3 linked regions of the Canis lupus familiaris genome follow. Each later gene encodes a partner of the first gene's protein in a complex. Links are inferred from orthologs where the notes say so. Each region holds a gene or a part of one and is shown on either strand. Other genes may lie near its edges.

Region 1 (3,748 bases):
CCCCTGAGCATGGAGCCCCAACACCCGGCTCAATCTCCATCTCATGACCCTGAGATCATGACCTGAACGGAAATCAAGAGATGGACTCTTAACTGAATGAGCCACCCAGACGCCCCTAGGAATTATGATTTCTTGCTGGTTGATGCTGGTATTAGCAAATAAAGAGGTGCCTACTCACTGAACCTGTTTCAAATCAGATAAAAGGACAATGGCTACACCCAACCTTGTGACACTAGTAGAGTAAGAGATGTCAGAATGAGCCTCACAAAGGTTCACCCAACATTCTCATGGACCACCAGTAGACATTCGAGATCTGCCTCTAGAACTATGTACACACGAGTCCAAAATTATCACAAAAAAGTCTGAGTAGTGCATTTCACCAACATAAGACAGTAGTTAGTGTGAATGATAGCTGAACCCTGTCTAGCACTGTCCTGGACAGAGAATAAAGGAGGCAGGAGGAGAAGGAAAAAAAAAAACCCTTTTCATGATCTCTGTGTCCCTTAATGTCATATATTGTGTCTCTTTGCTTAATTTTTTTTTAAGATTTTATTTATTTATTCATGATAGACATAGAGACAGAGAGAGAGAGACAGAGACACAGGCAGAGGGAGAAGCAGGCTCCATGCCAGGAGTCTGACGCGGGACTCGATCCCAGGACTCCCAGATGACGCCTTAGGCCAAAGGCAGGCGCTAAACCACTGAGCCACCCAAGGATCCCCCTCTTTGCTTAATTTAAAAGGGGGAAAGGGATAGAGGAAGGAAAGGAGCGAGAGAGAGAAAGAGACAGAGACAAGCCCACCCTCAAGATAGACCTGGGCAAGAGAAGAAAGCTACCACTAATCAGAGAAACTAACCCTTACTGAGACATCGATAGTGTCAGGGATTCTAAGTGGTTCAGATAAACCCATTTCAGTTTAAGGTTTCATTTTGTTGGGATGCCTGGGTGGCTCAGTGATTGAGTGTCTGCCTTCAGCTCAGGTTGTGATCCTGGGGTCCTGGGATCGAGTTCCACATAGGGCTCCCCCAGGGAACCTGCTTTTCCCTCTGCCTATGTCTCTGCCTCTGTGTGTCTCTCATGCATAAACAAATAAAACCTTTAAATTGTTTTCATTTTGTTTTTTTCTCCCCTTTGACCCTCAGAATAACCCTCTGAGAGCAGCTACCATCATTTGACCACAAAAGCTCTGAGAGGTGGGAGTGGATAAATGTCAGGGAGGGACTAGAATCTGGGTCTCGGGATCCCTGGGTGGCGCAGCGGTTTGGCGCCTGCCTTTGGCCCAGGGCGCGATCCTGGAGACCCCGGATCGAATCCCACATCGGGCTCCCGGTGCATGGAGCCTGCTTCTCCCTCTGCCTATGTCTCTCTGCCTCTCTCTCTTTCTCTCTCTGTGACTATCATAAATAAATAAAAATTTAAAAAAAAAAAAATAGAATCTGGGTCTCCTCCCCCGACTCCCCAACACAAGACCAACAGGCAGGCGGGACTGTGATGGGTGTGTCCCAGCGGGAATCACCTGTGGCTGAGATGAACTTGTTGTAGTTCTCATAGACCAGGGTCTGCATGTCGCTGTCCAGAGCCCGGATCTGTCGCACCATGTCTGTCTCACTGTCCATCAGCTGGGCCAGGGGGCATTCCCGACGCAGCTGGAGGAAATCCAAGTGGTAGTGCTCAGGGCAGGGGCATTCATGTCCCTCAGGCCTGCCCCTACCTGGTAGGCTTTGGGTGCAAGAAAGCTCTCATCCCACTCCTGGCAGAGATACTAGACAAAGAGCCTATCAGTGCCATAGGTCAGGAGTTACTAGATTCGACTCTATTTGGGGTTTGTCAGCCTTTGAAACGCTCAGATTCAGCCACCGCCCACCCCTAAGCCTGTCAACGCCTGGGCCACGCCCCACGCCCCACGCCCCACGCCCCGGCCTATCAGAACATCAGCCCAGGACATCAGCACCCCGCACCTGCTCCGGCCCGTCCAAATCTGCCCACGCCCCCTTAGACTCCAGCTCGGCCCCTGCTTCCTGCCCTAGGGTCATCTGGTTTTTACGAGCCCCTGCGTCCCTCACCCCCGCAGCAAAGTCGAAGGCATGATCTGGGGGGTGCGATGTGTCCGGGGCCTGGTTCTCCCCAACACACAAACACACACCTTGTCCAGGTACACTTCCGGGTCGAAGTGTGCCCCGTTGAGATCCGTCGGGTCCAGGGGGTCCGACCCTGCGGGGCGCCCCGCGCTCTCCCCCTCCGAGAGACCGTAGTAAATCTTCAGCATCCCGTGCGCCTTCCGCCGACGCTCCGGGGCCTCCGCCTCGGGCCCCTCCGGAGAGTCCCCAGTTCCAGACCCCGGGCCAGGTCCAGCGGCTGCAGCCGCCATCACTCCAACTGCAGCCCACGGGTGTGAGGCTGGGAAAGAACTGGGAGGAGGCACTTCCGGGAGCCATAAAGTTCTTGTTGAAACGAGGCAGTCCTTCAGCTAAAAGGTCCCCCTGCAACCCTGGGTCCTTCGAGACTAGCGTTCCCCCTACCTTTCCTCCCTGAGCGGAAGAGGTTCCGGGAGAGCCCTGGGTTCCCGCAGCCTCCCGAGCAGATTGAGAAGAACTCGTCTGGTGCTTCCCTCCCAGAAGGAAGGCGGGTCCTGGCTCCCAACCCCGCACCCCCGCAGGCAGGGGCCCCCGGAATATGTCCCCCATTCCTACTATACGGGTGCAGACTTCACAAGAGGCTGCGGGGGAGCTACGAGGTTAGATGCGCGCACAGTGCGGGCGGGGCCTCTAGCAGTTTCCCCGCCCGTCCTCTGACACGGGTCAGAACTGCCTTCAGACCCTGGGCTCCCCCAGTCCTAGCCTCTTTAAGGGAAAAAAAAAAAAAAAAAGTCCCCAAGCACTTTAAGATACTTGCTTAGAAGACCGACTTGGCAGATCTTCAGCGACCCGTGGGATGTGCTGGGGGGGGGGGGGGTGAGGGGCTGGGTGCAGATGATGAGGGTTGTTCTCAGGTTTCCGATTTCAACAAAATGCAATTAATTGTTCACCAAGGCGCAGTGCTTAAGAGGACAGGTAATGAGGTTCAAGTATAGATACGATGAGTTTTAATAGAGAAAACGACTTTATCGACATGGTCCTTGAAACATTACTTGTGATGGGCTGGCGGCTGGGCGGGGCGGGGTGGGGGGTGTTGGAATGGAAACCACCGTGTTTAAAGATTCTTTGGCTGGGGTGCGGCAGGCCAAACACATCCCACCACGTGTTTTCATTTGGCCTGTGAGCTAAGACTGGTGTGTTTGGTTTTTTTGTTGTTGTTGTTTGTTTTCATTTTTAAATGGTTAAAAAATAAGAATGGCATTTCATGATGTGAAAATTATGTAAAATTCATATAATCAGAGTAGATCTTAAAAGTGCTCATCAGGAGAAAAAATAATTTGTAACATTAATAATTTGTATAGTGACAGATGTTAGACTTCCTTGTGATCATTTTGAAATATATACAAATACCAAATCATTACCTTGTACCCTTAAAAATATTGGAATATGTCTATCTCAATTTAAAAGATGATTTTCATAAAATCAAATGAAAATTATATGAAATATTCCAGTGTCTATAGTTTTATTTGAACACAGCCATGCACATTTGTTTACATATTATCTGTGCCTGCTTTTGCACTACAACAGAAGTGTTGAGTAGTTGCAACAGAGACCTTATGGCTGACACCTAAAACATTTACCATGAAGAATAGTTGGCTGACTGCTGAAATCT
Region 2 (3,721 bases), on another chromosome or scaffold:
GCAGCCGCCTTGGCATCCAGTTCCTGCAGCTGCTCCAGGAACCTAGGCTCTGTCACTGGTGCCTCCAGAATTGCCCTGGGTAGCAGGGACAGGTGGAAGGGGTTATAGGAGGGAGACCCAGACATCAGTAGGTCCCAAACTATATTCCTTACATCCAGCCTGTCACCTCTCCCTTCACACGCTAAGTCACATAGTCAGGATACGTGTACAAAGTCTCCTGTTCCTGGAACCTCCCCCAATCCCACGTCCATAAAGCCTTAAACCTCCCAACTAAACCTCCCAACTAAATGCCTGACTCTGGATATTCCTAATCTTTGATGCCTAAAGCATGCATCAAGGTTGAGTTGTCAACCACCCATCAGTTTCTGGAAGGTGCTTGAAGAGCTGAGGCCAGGAGACCCATGTGGTAGGTCATCCTAGACCATCTACCTGCTATAGACATTGTAACTCTTCAAAATGGCAACTTACATGATCAGAGCAGAGGGCACTATCAGACCATCGACAAGTTCCCCAAGTTTTCCCCGAACTGCCTGGCGGTTTCGAAGCCGAATATTCATGGCTCCTGACTGTTCCTGCAGTGTCCGGATCTCAGAGCTAATAGAGCTGAGGTCACTCTGAAAAGCTCCCAACATCTGCTCCATGCGCTGGGGGGAGGACAGAAGATGTTGTTGGAGCACCAAAGGGTTGGCAAGGGACAAATGGGCCACCTAAGTTTATTGGTAAAGTCTTCAGTATCAGTCCTCGAAGGTAGGTGATGAGGTAAGAAGTACCCAAAAGGTCACTGGCAAATAACATTAGTTATGGCAGTAGCAACAAAAAGGTCTGCTAAGGTCATCCTGAACGTGAATCTAACTATCCCCACCTGAGGATGATGACTTAAAGAACAACACCAGACCATGATCTGGTTCAGGGTTAAGAGGGATCACAGGTCATGGTTACTAACCTCAAGAACAGCATCGCAGGCTGTGATCTGGTTGTGGAGAGACGCTATGTTCTCACTCTCCTGGATATCTAATCCACAAAAAGTCAAGGGGCCTCACCATAAAGCTGGAGATTCTCAGACCTGTGGGACTATTCCCATTTTTCCCAGAGATGACAGAAACTGCCATGAGAAGATGTCAGCCCCTGCTGGGCTGCATGCACCATGCTCCGCAAAATCTCTATTTTAATAACATCACCCTTTTTCTCTACTGGAGGATACAATCTCGAATGGATTTCTGCTCAATCTGCTGTAGTTCCAGCTCAACCTGCTTTGAATAGTGACGGAGATCCACACCCTAGGGGAACATTAACACAACAGGTTAAGAGGAAGTGGCAGTGAAGAGACCCTAGAAAGAATCAATAAAGGACTAGAAGGTGAGACACCAGGGTGATGTTGTAAGAGTGAGAGACTGTCCTTTTTTTTCCTCTTTGAGGGGAGGGTAAGAGGAGGGATAAATCAGTACAGCAGAAAGCCTCACCGTTTTAAGAGCTTCCTTTACTAACTCATCCTCCAGATTTGCCTGAATGTGAACTGGAAATAGAAATTTATCATAAGGGTCCAGCTCCCGCAAACGAACATCTGTACACCATTCCCCACCTTATTACTTCCAGCACCATACCTCTTGGATCACAAGCAGTTTGCATCCACCTCATGCCATCACTTACCATCCACTTCATCCAGAATAAATTCATCAGAGGAGATGTCCAATTCTCCAAGTGGCAATGGCTCCTGAAGACCAGGGCCACCCCCCTGGAGAGGGACAAGTCAACAGGAAAGGGCACAGTAAGAGAGAGAGAGAGAACAAATATAACGGGATAATCCACAGACCTTCAAGGTTTGGGGAAGGTGGGGCTGGGCTGGGTTTTTATTGGGAAGCCATGGGCACTGGGTCAAAAAATTCCAAAAGTCTCACACTGTCCCCAATCTGCTATTTGGGGCTCCTAGGTAGGGAATATAACAAAAAGACTCAAAAGTCACCACAAGAGTAAAGGAGGAGTTGCAGAGGACAGGGCTAAACTTACAGCTGAGTGTAGGATCCCCAGACTCCTGCTATCTTAGGTGTTCTATCACAATCCCTGTGGGGATCACCTGCCCTTCTAGAAATGTCAGCTAACAGTGTTTACCTGCGGGCCAGGTGCCATTTTTCATACATTCATTCATCTAATCATAACCAACAATTTCTACGGTGAAGTCTTATCATTTCCTTCACCTTATACGTGGGGAAAGTATAACACAGAGAAACTGATTAACCCGCCCAACGACACACAGCGTGCAAGAGGCAAAGCTGGAATTAGAACCCAGGCGATCTGACCATAGTCACGTTCTTAACCTTTACACTATACTGCCGCTGTATTCTGCCCTCAGATCTGGAAGTTAACTGAAATTCTGCCACTGGCACCTGAGTCGGCCATTCTGACTCCAGGGCAGACTCAGACCCGACTCCAAGGACGGATACGGAAAAACACACAGGGAGCATCACCGTTAACAGCCGCTCGCCCACTCTTCTGCCTAAACCCAGCCCAGGCCCTTCTGACGCGAGGACCCCCGGACAAGACTCCGGAGAGAAAGAGCCCCACGTCCGCACCAGCGGGCCCTCCTCCTCCTCCATATCCGAGGTCCCGGCTCTCAGCAGCAGCTCTCGCGCAGCCGCCGCCATGGTCGCAGCAGCTGCCATTCTGCGTAGCCTCACTTCCGGCAGCTGTCCAGTCGCCGTAGGTCCGTCCCTGGGGTGGACCTACAAATCCTAGAGGGTCTTGCAGAGAGCGAAATCGTTCCCAGATATTTGAATTAAGTTGTTGGACTCCAGCCTTCCCCTTTCAGCCCTAACCACTTGACCCAACTGCAAATGGGAACTGGATATCTGAAGCACAATCGCACCCCGGAACCTTTGCTGCTCTCCCTCTTAAGGACTTTACGAACATGTAAAGAGAGGCCGCACCGGAAGTTCTGGTAAAGAAGAGAGATTCTCATAGTTGAATTAGTTCTGGCACCAGCGGCTTCCGGAAGCGCTCCTGCGTGATCGCTCCGCCTCTTCCGCTGATAGCTATATAAGCCTAGTATGTCACTTCCGTTCTCTCTTCCACGGGAGGCCCGCACGCCGCTGCAGAGGCTGCTGCCATGGTAAGAGTGGATTTCGTGCGGGGATCCGGCGACATCGGAACCGGGACACGGAAAGTCTGCTGTTAGGGATCAGAAAACGCCCTGTTTTAGGGGTTAGCAACTTTCTGTGTGAATCTTTGGAGCGCACCCCTGGGAAGGAATGACTGAGGACTTCCAGTTCTGTGGAGTAGGCCAGAGGAAGAGTCACTCGAAACCGGCGAAAAGGCTTGGGCGTGAATGGGGACCTGAGGTCTCCGCCTCTCAGTGTACTTTTGGGAACGGGCAGAAGACTTGCCCCCTCCCAGAGGTTGCGTTTTCCCGAGCTTGAACACTTAAGGTTTTGCGAGCGGGACTGAAGGGGGGAGGGTTGTTGCTCCCGGTGTGACAACCCGGACGTTCCTCTTGACGTTACTGTTTGATGGTGGTTGACGGTGTCCTGTTTCTCCCCCTGTCTCTGCCAGTCTCTAGTGATCCCTGAGAAGTTCCAGCACATTTTGCGAGTACTTAACACCAATATCGATGGGCGGCGGAAAATAGCCTTTGCCATCACAGCAATTAAGGTAAGGTAGGGTAAGGAACGGAGCCTGTAAATGAGACAGGATAGCTGTAAGTGAGGAAGGGTCCAGGAGACATGTCCCA
Region 3 (3,648 bases), on another chromosome or scaffold:
ATTTTTCTCATGAGTTGGAGAGCACTCAGTCTCGGCTGGACAACGTGATGAAGAAACTTGCAAAAGTATCTCACATGACCAGTGGTATGTATGGCATTTAAACCTTAAGAATTCCCACTTAATTCTAGAAACACGGTCTGTAGGATTCTCATAGGTGTGACCCCTCAGATCTTTCCCATGACACATTTCTGGTCCTGCTTTCTGGTCAGAGAAGGACACTAGTGTGCATGGGCCTCATCTGCCACTGTGGCCTTCACCTGAGATGTGGGCTTTGTGTTCTCCCATCCCATGAGGCTGGTGGTGGTGAGTAGCTTTTCTCCTGGCGGATCAACTCTCTTTGCAATTACAAAATCCTCTTATTTTTTCTATTTCCTTGCAAGAACAGGGAACTTTTTATAAAACAGTAATTAAGAAGCCAGTTACTGTTTCTCCCGGACTGGCTTTCTTTTATTGAGAAACTCCCACCATTTCTTTCTTTTTCTTTTTCTTTTTTCTTTTTTTTAAAGATTTATTTATTTATTTATTCATGAGAGGCACAGAGAGAGAGAGAGAGAGAGAGGCAGAGACACAGGCAGAGGGAGAAGCAGGCTCCACGAGAGAGAGAGAGAGGCAGAGACACAGGCAGAGGGAGAAGCAGGCTCCACGCAGGGAGCCCGATGTGGGACTCGATCCCGGGTCTCCAGGATCAGGCCCTGGGCTGAAGGCGGCACTAAACTGCTGAGCCACCGGGGCTGCCCCACTCCTACCATTTCAAAATAAGATGGCCTTGCAGATCTAATTTAAATGGTTTTCCTTTAAATCCGTAGTGGAATACTCCAGCGGATTTGCCCTGAGATGGGGATGAAGAAGTAACAGTTTTCAAATCAGTCACTATATAGGAAGATATGTTCCAATGACTCGTTTTTGTTTTGTTTTGTTTTGTTTTTATTGCAACAACCCACTTCCCCTAGTACATTAGAAATAATATATTTTAAATCAAAGAAAATCCAGTATCTCCTTTTTTCTTTAGTTGGTGGGGGTGCTTGGTGAAGGGAGAAAGGAACTAAACTTGAGGTGATGTAGGTGTTCTTGAACCAGAGCACCCAGCACCCCACTGGAACCTCCCGTTTCTTGACGCCTCGTTCTTTGGGTTTCCTCTCATCAAGTCTGTGTTGCAGGGTCTAATAGTTCAACCTTTTGAGCTGAGACTTCAATACAAATGTATATTTGCTTTCCAACAAGTCAATTCATAGTCAAGTTCTAGAACAGTTGTCTGGGGCTCAGCTTCTTATCTGTAAGGGAAAAAAAAGTAGGCTGATGCCTGCCTCTCAAGATCATTGCGAAGATTAAATGAAATAATAGTAATTAGTGTACAGATGTTTAACAGTGTCTCCCATATATTACTACTTAGTAAATGTTTGGTTTTTTAAAAAAATACAAAGCAGAATATGGCCCTCCAGGGCAAAGGACCTGTTATATCCAAAATAGAGGGAGGCTCGGAGCCAGACTTTTAGTTCCTTCTTTCTCTCCAGGGACAGATAACTTGATGCTGTAGCAAGTCATTGCCTAAAAGCAGGCACCAGCTTAGTTCATCTTTCACACGCTTCAGAGAAAGGTTTACAAAACCTTCTTCCTTCTTCCTCTCTCTACTCTTCCACCTTCAGCCCTCTACTTTGAAAAAGAAAGATTAATGAAGTATTATATAACCAGTTTAAACACGAGGCCTCTCACCAGTGTATGTATTACTCACAAAGTCAAGTAGCTACTTCAGCACCAGTTTTGTTTGGGGAAGAGCAAAGAACAAAGATGCACTGTGTCTTTGTTTCTCAGCATTCCGGGTATGAATAATTTAGAAAAGTACTTGCATTGTGATAAGCCGTTCAGTGTGTATAAATAGCACTGAGCCTTGCTTATGCTTTATTCTCCTTTAGCCTAAAAGAAAAGTTTAGGGAGCAGAGTAGGGACTTCAGTTACATTTGTTTAAGAAGAAGAGCCAGGAAACCAAGCATTCAGCCTGGAAGACCCTTCAGTTTGGACAGCTTGCTTGTGGTTTTCATTTTAATCTTTGCTCACTCGCAAAAGAAAGATTGTGTGAGGGTTCCCGCTCCGTGGTGCTGGCTTCAATTTGGCAACAAGGCAATTGGTATTTGTCTCTGTTCTCCTCCATCACTTTTGGGCAAGTTCACCACCTTTTAATCTGTGCCTAAAGTATATTAAGTACACACGGCAGTTGGATTAGGCGTTAAGTGAGCACACATGCTGAATGATCTTGAAGAGCCAGGATCTGGTTCCTTCCTCCCTTCACCAACCACCCCCACCAACTAAAGAAAAAAGGAGGTACTGGATTTTCTTTGATTTAGAGCCAGAACACTTGCCCTCCCCGTGGCTGGCTGCTCCACAGCAGAGGTCAGCCAAGATGCCACACCTGCCTTTGTGAGTGACCCAAGTAAAGTTTATTCTTTTGAGTGGATACAGGGGTTTTCTTCCCTCACTTTCCAAAATTCTGTTATCTTTTCTCTCTAGGGCAGAAAAATATACTGGAAGGGGAAAGAAACCTGCCATTAGAATTCTCTTTGTTCCTGTCTGACTTTTTGAGGCAGGTCTTGAACATGCAAAACTGGTTAGGCTTTTCCCTTGAGAGCACAGAAGCCTTTGGGTAGTACTGACACCTTCTGGGGAGAAGTCAGCTGGGGTACCAGCTCCCAGAGGTTACGTGGTTCATGCTCTATCACAGCAGCTTAGCACTTCGGAGGAAAGTGGCTTTAAAAGAGTGTTCCTGGGTTGTGCTGGCCTGTGTGACCCAACTTCTTGATGAAAAACCCCCATTTAATGGAGTTGTGGAAGAAGTGACTGGAGGTGGGAGGGGATTGGGTAGAGGCTGATGGAAAGCCAAAAAGTGGACAATTGGTTCAATATTGGGTTTAAGAATGCAGGACAGGGGGAGGGGCAGGGATCTATATGAGGTTGGGGGGTGCTCAGGAAGCAATTACCTTGACTGTTTTGTCTTGGAGGAATATCGACTAATCATTTTATTTCCTTTAAAGATTTTATTATTTCTTTATTTGACAGAACGTGCGCACTCACCAAGCAGGGGAGGGGCAGGGAGAGGGAGAAGCAGGCTCCCTGCTTAGCAGGGAGCCTGATAGGGGCTTGATCCCAGGACCCTGAGATCATGACCTGAGCTGAAGGCAGACACTTAACCAACTAAGCCACCCAGGTGCCCCTTGACTAATCATTTTAATGAGAGTGTTTTTAATTTATCGTAAACATTTTTAAATATATGAAAAAATGCTCGATACTCAAGTTTTCTTGGCCAGTGAAGTGACAGTTAAACAGATTAAAAATATTATCTGGGGTGCTTGGGTGGCTCAGTCGCTTAAGCATCTGCGTTCAGCTCAGGTCATGATCTCAGGGTCCTGGGATCGAGCCCCGCATCTTCTCCCTCTCCCACTCCCTTTGCTTGTGCTCTCTCTCTGTCAAATAAATGAATAAAATCTAATATATATATATATATATATAATCTGAGTAGGTTGATTCTGCCTCCCATGCCCATTGGACGAGTCCTTGTTCAGGTACGAAACCAACAGACTTGGGATCTTTGCCCTTATCACACTTAACTGAGTTTCTAGCATGTCTGAAGTAGAATAAAGTGATCATGACTAAGAAGGT

The links.
Region 2: VPS51 (region 1) and VPS52 share a complex: the UniProt entries of both Homo sapiens proteins name them as parts of the endosome-associated retrograde protein (EARP) complex. The link is inferred for Canis lupus familiaris from reciprocal best matches to the Homo sapiens genes VPS51 and VPS52.
Region 3: the proteins of VPS51 (region 1) and STX6 are in contact, whole or in part, in a crystal structure (PDB 4J2C), measured with the Homo sapiens proteins. The link is inferred for Canis lupus familiaris from reciprocal best matches to the Homo sapiens genes VPS51 and STX6. Residues at the interface, in NP_037397.2 of Homo sapiens: Ala33, His34, Met36, Leu37, Leu39, Tyr40, Tyr41, Gly42, Leu43; in NP_005810.1 of Homo sapiens: Met3, Glu4, Asp5, Pro6, Phe7, Val9, Val10, Glu13, Trp59, Asp60, Asp63, Leu64, Glu66, Thr67, Ile70, Val71, Phe78, Arg88.

What each region holds. Positions count from the first base shown.
Region 1 is NC_049239.1:52,609,388-52,613,135, forward strand, and holds the start of VPS51 (vacuolar protein sorting-associated protein 51 homolog), read right to left. Parts: upstream 2,458-3,748; 5' UTR 2,370-2,457; coding exon 2,145-2,369; intron 1,648-2,144; coding exon 1,518-1,647; intron 1-1,517. UniProt on the Homo sapiens protein: Acts as a component of the GARP complex that is involved in retrograde transport from early and late endosomes to the trans-Golgi network (TGN).
Region 2 is NC_049233.1:2,864,971-2,868,691, forward strand, and holds the start of VPS52 (vacuolar protein sorting-associated protein 52 homolog), read right to left. Parts: upstream 2,930-3,721; 5' UTR 2,658-2,929; coding exon 2,568-2,657; intron 1,733-2,567; coding exon 1,648-1,732; intron 1,514-1,647; coding exon 1,461-1,513; intron 1,278-1,460; coding exon 1,202-1,277; intron 1,012-1,201; coding exon 944-1,011; intron 645-943; coding exon 469-644; intron 76-468; coding exon 1-75. Other genes in the region: RPS18 (40S ribosomal protein S18), read left to right, coding at 3,101-3,103, 3,544-3,642. UniProt on the Homo sapiens protein: Acts as a component of the GARP complex that is involved in retrograde transport from early and late endosomes to the trans-Golgi network (TGN).
Region 3 is NC_049228.1:14,328,847-14,332,494, reverse strand, and holds part of STX6 (syntaxin-6), read left to right. Parts: coding exon 1-84; intron 85-2,502; coding exon 2,503-2,639; 3' UTR 2,640-3,648. UniProt on the Homo sapiens protein: SNARE promoting movement of transport vesicles to target membranes. Targets endosomes to the trans-Golgi network, and may therefore function in retrograde trafficking.